Schizosaccharomyces pombe: one gene and its partner. The main gene of each other region encodes a partner of the protein of the gene in region 2 in a complex. Each region holds a gene or a part of one and is shown on either strand. Other genes may lie near its edges.

Region 1 (4,040 bases), on a different chromosome or scaffold from region 2:
TACGATATTATTTTTAATATTCCTCCTAAATAAATAACATTAATTATGTTGCGCTTCTATACAACTATGCATACTATGTACATCACGCTTTCTCATCTGTAAACACTGAATTGAATACCATGGCTGTTAAGGCTTCTGTATCTGAAAATCGTAATGTATCATCAAAGTTCTCCTTCTTCCTGCACCAAATTGTATTCGATGCCCACGACGTCTCCTGTTCGTATCACCGCTCTGTTAATAACGCCCCAATCGGTTTGTAGATTGGAAACTGCCAACTTTGACTCACTACTGTCTATCGCTCCAAATTCTGCTTTTACTTCTCGTTGATCGTGGAGGTACACAGTGATCGGGATTCGCGCAGAAGCCATTTTTTGATAAAATTTTAGTGTTCGCATCCTCTGGATGTAAGCAGTAGACTTTTTATTATTTTCTGCCATTAGTGTGAAAATTTATCAACAAAAAGTAATCTTGAATTACAAAAAGTCTTCAAAGTAAAGATTATAACATATGCAGTATGTGCATGGTTTTAAACGGTTTGCGTCGTTATCGTATGTGAGAGTAAACTTTCTAGGCACGTAATGTAATACAGTTAAAACACATAAGAAACTAAGCTAACCATTACCTATAAAATAAAAAATAAACTTTTATAGATATTATGAGTCAACTCATGTTTTAAATACAATGGAAACTTTGAATGAGATTCGTATTTCCTTAGGAATTTATGCTTAGATAATTTATATAAAAAGTAAAAGCGTATCGAACGAAAGTAAACAATGATACAAACATACTTGTAATGATGAAAGTGAAAAGAAAAATGCGTTACCCTAAAATAATCCATTTCAAGATCCTTTCGTTTTACGAGTAAAGTGTTGATATTCATAATTAATCCAAATATTAGAAACTCCTTAATTTTTTGCTATTTTTTAAAAACTTTTCCATCGGTCATTAAGAAAGCACAAGAGTGCAATTATTCTGTAGCAGCAGCTCTATACCAACGAATACTTTTATCAGCACCTGCGACGATGAACCCATTTTTATACCATGCCACAGCCCAAATAGCTCCATCCGTTTCACTTTGTGTACTAATACATTCCATGGTGTCAATATCCCAGATTTTGATTTTTCCTTCAACATCAGCCGAAAGCAACAAATCACCTACGGGATTGAAAGCTACTGCAAAAATCCATGCAGCATGACCACGAAGTTGGCCGACTTGATCCCCTGATAAAACGTCGTAGATAGTAATCATTTTAGAATCCCCGGCAGCAGCTAAAAGTGTTGAACCAGGAGAGAACGCCACTGATCGTACAGGGGAAGTGTGGCCCGATAGTACATGAAACAAGCGTCCTGTTTCTGTACTTATAAGGAAAAGCTGCCCAGTTTGATGACCAGAAACGATAAATCTTCCATTGGGAGAATAGTCTATACAAAGACCGAATTTACCTTTGGTATCTAACTCGGAAATTTTGCAATCACTTGGATTGTCCCAGACAGCAATACGCCCGTCTACAGATGTGAAAGCAATCGTTTGTCCATCAGGGCTAATGCAAGAAGACCAGCATTCGCTGGGATGTTGAGCATTATTACCTAAATCATATTCGTTAGAGAAATGCATAGCTTCTTCGTAAAGTAATTCGTACCCAAGTCTCGAAATTCATTAGTTTCAGGATTCCAAACATAAACATCCTGTCCAAATCCGCAAGAAACGACGACGTTTTCATCCAAGCTAGTTGCTAGATGATGAACGCCAAGTTTATGAGGGGTATCTATTTCTTCAACTAAGCTATGCTCAGCATCACCTATAGACCATTTTTTTATTTTGGAATCCCCAGAAGCCGACCAAAGATTGCCTGCGACTACATTGAGAGAGTAAATGTCTGCTTGATGTGCATTTTCTTCTATATGGCTAACGAGATACTCTTTCCTCATAGTATCTAATAAATAAGGAAAATAATACAACAAAATTAGTAATTAAAATGCTGGCGCTTTCCAATACTTTATAATACTTAAACCTGTGACTAGCAGGACTTAGTTTACTGTGGTTGCGTTCTCCTTAGATATACACGGTCTATGCACATACCCTAAACATGTTAGTGAAAAGATGAATTTATAAGTATGAATGAAAGAAAATAATTCTTTTCTGTAGGTAGAAATGAGAAGGTGAGATTATTAGTTGTTAACCGTGACACTGAATTAAATTGTTTAAACTTTTGGCAATAGTAGGTTTTTCAAATTTGAACAATTCGAAGTTTGATCAAATAAAGATGAGCAGATATCAAATGTTAACATCCAGGAAATAAAAAGACCTGGCGCCCATAATTGTCGATTAATTTATATGATATAGATAACAGCAATTACTAAAATTTAAGATTACTTTTTTCCCTTTATCTTACTCGTCTAGTGTAGCAAGTCAAGAGAAACGATAAATAACGCTTCGTGATTCTTGCAATAGGTAAAGTAAATTTGAATAAATTATTTTAGTAGATAACCTAATCATTTCATTATGCAATTTGGAACAACTTGTTTATTCATACCATTTTTTTCGAATGACTTAAACACACTTACAAAACGATTTTTAAAAACGCCACAATTCAGAAGGGAAGAAAGACTATCTTTAATATTGATTTTTAAAAGATACTAAATAAAAAATAAACCAATTTTTAACACTGGAATATGGATGTTTACTCAAGTTCACATAGTGTTGTATTTATAACTTCTACTCCAATGTTTACAGATTTACCGAAATATAACGCGTTACATAAATAACTTTAACACATCGGAAATGGAGTCATCTGACATTAGTAAAAAATCACGCAGTTCTGTGTACAATAACGGCTTAAGTTAAGCACAAGGCTCTTGTTTCCTTTCTTAACACGCCACCTTTCCTCTTGTATATATTCAGAAATTTCCTGATTTCTTAATAATACGTGTTCTAATAAGCACATATTGTCGCTTAGTTACAGGTAAGTTATGAATGAAATGCATTGAGGCTGTAATTGTTGCAATTGGTATTTTAATGTCTCAAAACACTTCTTTAATACTGTTATGAGCTTTTTGTCGAAAATTGCTGGTCTTCTGCTTTCGTGGAAGAAAAGAGACAGAGTCTTTATAATTCATGCTGTTAATGACATTGGCTTGGTTTAAGACCACGATGGTGCTTTTTGTTTGTTTTTATACTAATTCAGCAATTTCGTCTCTTTATCCATTTTTTTCTTAAATTCTCTTTCTTCTTAAGCTAATAAACTTTGTTAGATTATTTCTTTACATACAAATTATAAACTATTCGTTTTACTGTTCCATTTGACGGCAATAACTCCGTCCTTCTTTATCTCTTTTTAATTCCAACCTCGCAACAATGAGTGTTGAAAAGGCCCCTGAACTGCGTGTTCTCTCGTTTAATTGTTGGGGATTGCGCTTTGTTTCCAAGTACCGTACTGAACGTTTGAAAGCTGTTGGCGAAAAACTTGCGAAGTGCGATTATGACATTGTTCTTCTTCAAGAAGTATGGTCGATTTACGATTTTCAGGAAATTCGTAACTTGGTGAGCTGCAATCTTGTCTATTCTAGGTTTTTCCATAGTGCTGCTATGGGTGCTGGACTTGCCATGTTTTCGAAGTTTCCTATCATTGAATCTTCTATGAACAAGTATCCACTTAATGGTCGTCCTCAAGCTTTTTGGAGAGGTGATTGGTATGTTGGAAAGGGTGTCGCTACAGCTAGTTTACAACATCCCTCTGGAAGGATCATCTCTTTGTTCAATACTCATTTGCATGCTCCATACGGTAAGGGTGCTGATACCTACTTGTGCCACCGTCTGTCACAAGCCTGGTATATCTCGAAATTGCTCCGTGCTGCTGTTCAACGTGGTCATATCGTAATCGCTGCTGGTGACTTCAACATTCAACCCCTTAGTGTTCCTCACGAAATCATTACCTCTTATGGTTTGGTCAATGATGCTTGGCTGTCTGTCTATCCTGACCAAGTTGAGCATCCACCTAACCGTTTCAGCATGAATGATAAGGAGTTGGTTGAAATTGCTG
Region 2 (3,625 bases):
AAACTGACAGGCTGATGCGGCTCTAAAGACAAATCCTTTAAAGTTACTTTCTCGGAAGCCGATACTTGTGGTTGTGAAATCGGCCTTTTATTTTCTTCAATCTTATCATGAATAACTGCATCTTTATCTCTAGGAGTATTTGATAATTGATGCAAAATTTCAAGGTTTTCAAAGGGATCGTAATTTGAAGATTTGGGGGTGGAATTGGAGTCCGGAGTTCCAACTTTCTGCCTTTCTAGTTCTTTTAAGGAAATTTTATTATCCGTTTTCTTTTGAAATAAATTAGCAAAAGGGTCTTCGGGCTTTGATGCTTTCAATGGAATTTGTGCATTCTTTTTCTGGGCTACTGGGGCGGGAAGGGAGTAGGATGGCGTTCTACTATTATTATTACTGTAATTATTTTGATTAGATGGTGTAGATTTATCGTAAAAATTGAAATCTAGCAAGTCATCCATGTTGGAGGCTTTATTATGGGAGTGTAGTGAAAGTAGGTTGAACTATCCAAGAACTTAACGTACTGAGTGCTTTCCACTTTTGTCGGCATCAGCTAATTTTCCTTTGATCCATGAAGGAAATTCTAGAATTGCTTGTATTTCCGCTTTTTTCTGGATAAACAGCATTCGCTGTAGCTGTTCACGAACAACGGGCTCCTTTTGGAAGCCTTCAAATTGTAATAATGTTGTAATCATTTTAATATCCCTTTTATTCAATTTTAAAGAGAATTCTTGGTTTTTATTAAAAATGTCCTCATACAGAGGGCCTAAAAGCTGTAAATTTCGTAATTGACTGTGCGGTTCATGACTGTAGGCATTAGAACCGTACTTGAAACAGGAATAAATGCATAAGCCATGGGGGTCCCAATCAAAAATACCAAAAAATTTAGCATCCGGGAGGGCTTTGGCTAATTTAACTAAAAATTTTCTCGTCATCAAATCTGGAAATCCTTTAGCCTGTTACAAGCAATTAGTTAGCTAGCACTCTAACATCAATATCATTGAAAAGGAAGCATTCTCACTTACTGTAACAATTATTGTATCCGCTAAAGCCTCTTCGGTTAGCGTTTGGAATACCGCTTCCTTTTCGATGACCAAGACCCATTTTGCTGTGGAAGTGATTGATGAAATTCGATGGTGAGAGATTAATAATGGCTGTATTTAGTAAAATTCTTAGTTAGAAAAAACAATTTTTACGGTTATTAAAACTTGAACCTACTTTAGTAGCAGTAATTACTGTCCCGTTTTCAAGAGCAATATGAATGGACCCAAATACCAATCCTTTAGCAGATGCTTCCTAAGATCAAATTAATCGTTAATGAATCTATTTCCAAAGAAATGACTTACAACGTTAAGGTCGGACCTGGAGCAACCAATGGTGTTTGAAATATCTCCAAGCAGCTCATCGACTACGGTTTGTCGCTTGAATAAATCTACATCTCTGTAATAAATATCTCTGCAAATGTAATTAGAACTTAAATCTGAATTTTCGGCGTATAGTACAAAGCAATTACCGCTTAGTGATTACTGTATCCGAAATAACAGCTTCATGAACACAATCTAAAACCCTGAATAGTTGAGCAATTGTTGTTTCATTCCTGGGGAATGAAAAAACCTTAACTTTTTGTCTTTCATTGGCCTTTGAATCTAAGCTGCCATTCCAAGAATTGTGCTTTCGTCTTTTCAAAGCAACATTTACTGAATCTTTGGTAGGCTTACTTAATTGCTCAACAAAATCATGAACAAATTGCTCAATCCATGATCTAACAACTTTTTTTTTATCATTCGAATTCATTTTTTTTACTTTCTGGACGCGTTCAGCATTCTTTGCATTGTCTAGATAATTATGCAAAGCGCGTATGGTTACAGTGTAAAAAATCAATAGCTTAATTCAAATAAGCTATATCTAAGCGAGATTGTTTTCTGAAGAAATGATACATACATTCAATAAATGGGTAATATCAAGGCGAAACAGTATATGTGTTTTCGTTAACTGCTAAAAAATACTTACTGAAGACTTTCCTTCTGATAAAATGGTGTAAGAGAAGACTCACGCGAGCTTTGCGGACTGAATTGGTAAATCGTAAAGATGGATCGAAATTTGAAATTCCTAAACAACTTATGTTCTTGTCTACAGAAAAGTTGAAAGAAAAGTAAATATATTTGAACTCTTTCGAGTTCAAATGCAACATACGACAACTAAGAGCCATAGATCAAGCGGTTACTTAATTTATTTCTATAGTTTTAATTTTCTATAAAAATATGTATATCAACTGTTTCAATAAATATTGTACTTATAATTTCGTTTTGCCAACTCCTTTGTCAAGAGAGAAAACGTAATTAAAAAACATGGTCACAGCCAGGTTCGAACTGGCGACATTCGACTTATTAGATCGACATGATAACCGACTACATCATGCGACCAACTGTTAACTTGATGATTATTTAAACCTATTTATAATAACATTAATGTTAAAAATATGAATGAAACTGACCTTTTTATACAAAAGGTATATATATAAACAAGAAGGACTTTCATTTTAATTTTGATAAGACAGTTTGAAATATCCTCCAATCCAATTTAAGATTGTTTCTAGTTTACAGATTTTCAAATCAGGAATTACTAAGTCATTTGCAACACTAAACATGAAGAAGTAGTCTAACTCACTATCTGCTCGATGTATATGTTAGCATATGCTTTCCTTGTGCCAGCCCTAAAGAGAAACTGACAGTGGTTTGCTTTTGCAAATGAAAAAATAAAATTGGAGAACATACAATTGTACGAAAATGCTACCTATCCAAATGGGTCTTTAACGAATTTTTTAAGCTTAAAAGTTGCCATATGTAGTGTGTTTGCTTGATTCATTAATAGTCATTTATTATGGTGCAATACTTCGTCAAGACAATAGTGATAGCTTTTTTAACTTATTGCGAGAACAGAAGATAGCAATTAATCTGATGTACAAATAACGATAATATTCTAATGACATCAATGGAAAACAATAATGAAAATAGGCACTCCATATTGCTTCCCGAAATTTGTACTTGTGGCATAGCAGATAAACAGGACGAACTAGATAAAAAATGAGCAAGGGTTTCTAAAGGAGAATAATTTCATCAAGTTTTTTTTTTTTGCTTCTTCTTAATAAGTATTTAATACTCAAGAAAACGTAGAAACAATTAGGCAACAATAGCACTGTGGTTTACAGTTACCCTTTCTTATACAGAAAAGATAGAGGTTATGACAACTGTTAAAACATGGAATTTTGCATGATGAACCGGTATTACTTTTGTAAGTTAATACAATAACAAAAAGATAAAAGTTAATAGAAAATTTAGGGAAAAAGAAGTGCAAAGCTCTGAGAATCATTCCGATATACTTAGACAATAGTAAAATAAATAAATACTTAGAACACGGACGGATTTTGCAATTTTAAGAATTAGGAAGTCCCGTAGATATTATTTAGAAGAAATTTTCCAAAGCATAAACGAAGTAGATAAGGAAAGAGCATTTTTGGAAAACAAACTTAATGGTCAAAACTATGACCAAATTAAAAATTCACGAATTCATAAACAAACCCAAAAAACGAAGACATTTTCGATATGAGCAATAAGCATATAAAAGGGGCTCT

Evidence for each region. The genes of interacting proteins can lie anywhere in the genome.
Region 1: rec12 (region 2) and rec14 share a complex: the UniProt entries of both Schizosaccharomyces pombe proteins name them as parts of the DSB catalytic core (DSBC) complex.

The regions. Positions count from the first base shown.
Region 1 is NC_003423.3:2,784,867-2,788,906, reverse strand, and holds rec14 (Ski complex WD repeat subunit Ski8), read right to left. Parts: upstream 2,013-4,040; 5' UTR 1,930-2,012; coding exon 1,641-1,929; exon of another isoform or gene 1,588-1,640; coding exon 968-1,587; 3' UTR 501-967; downstream 1-500. Other genes in the region: protein Gem7, read right to left, coding at 162-437; inositol phosphosphingolipid phospholipase C Css1, read left to right, coding at 3,356-4,040. UniProt on the Schizosaccharomyces pombe protein: Required for formation of the rec12-mediated double-strand breaks (DSBs) that initiate meiotic recombination.
Region 2 is NC_003424.3:1,771,088-1,774,712, reverse strand, and holds rec12 (DNA topoisomerase type II (DSB-forming) Rec12/Spo11), read right to left. Parts: upstream 1,789-3,625; coding exon 1,508-1,788; exon of another isoform or gene 1,450-1,507; coding exon 1,341-1,449; exon of another isoform or gene 1,291-1,340; coding exon 1,213-1,290; exon of another isoform or gene 1,149-1,212; coding exon 1,020-1,148; exon of another isoform or gene 951-1,019; coding exon 510-950; downstream 1-509. Other genes in the region: UBA/TPR/DNAJ domain protein Ucp7, read right to left, coding at 1-455. UniProt on the Schizosaccharomyces pombe protein: Required for formation of the double-strand breaks (DSBs) that initiate meiotic recombination. Required for crossover recombination and chiasmatic segregation of chromosomes during meiosis I.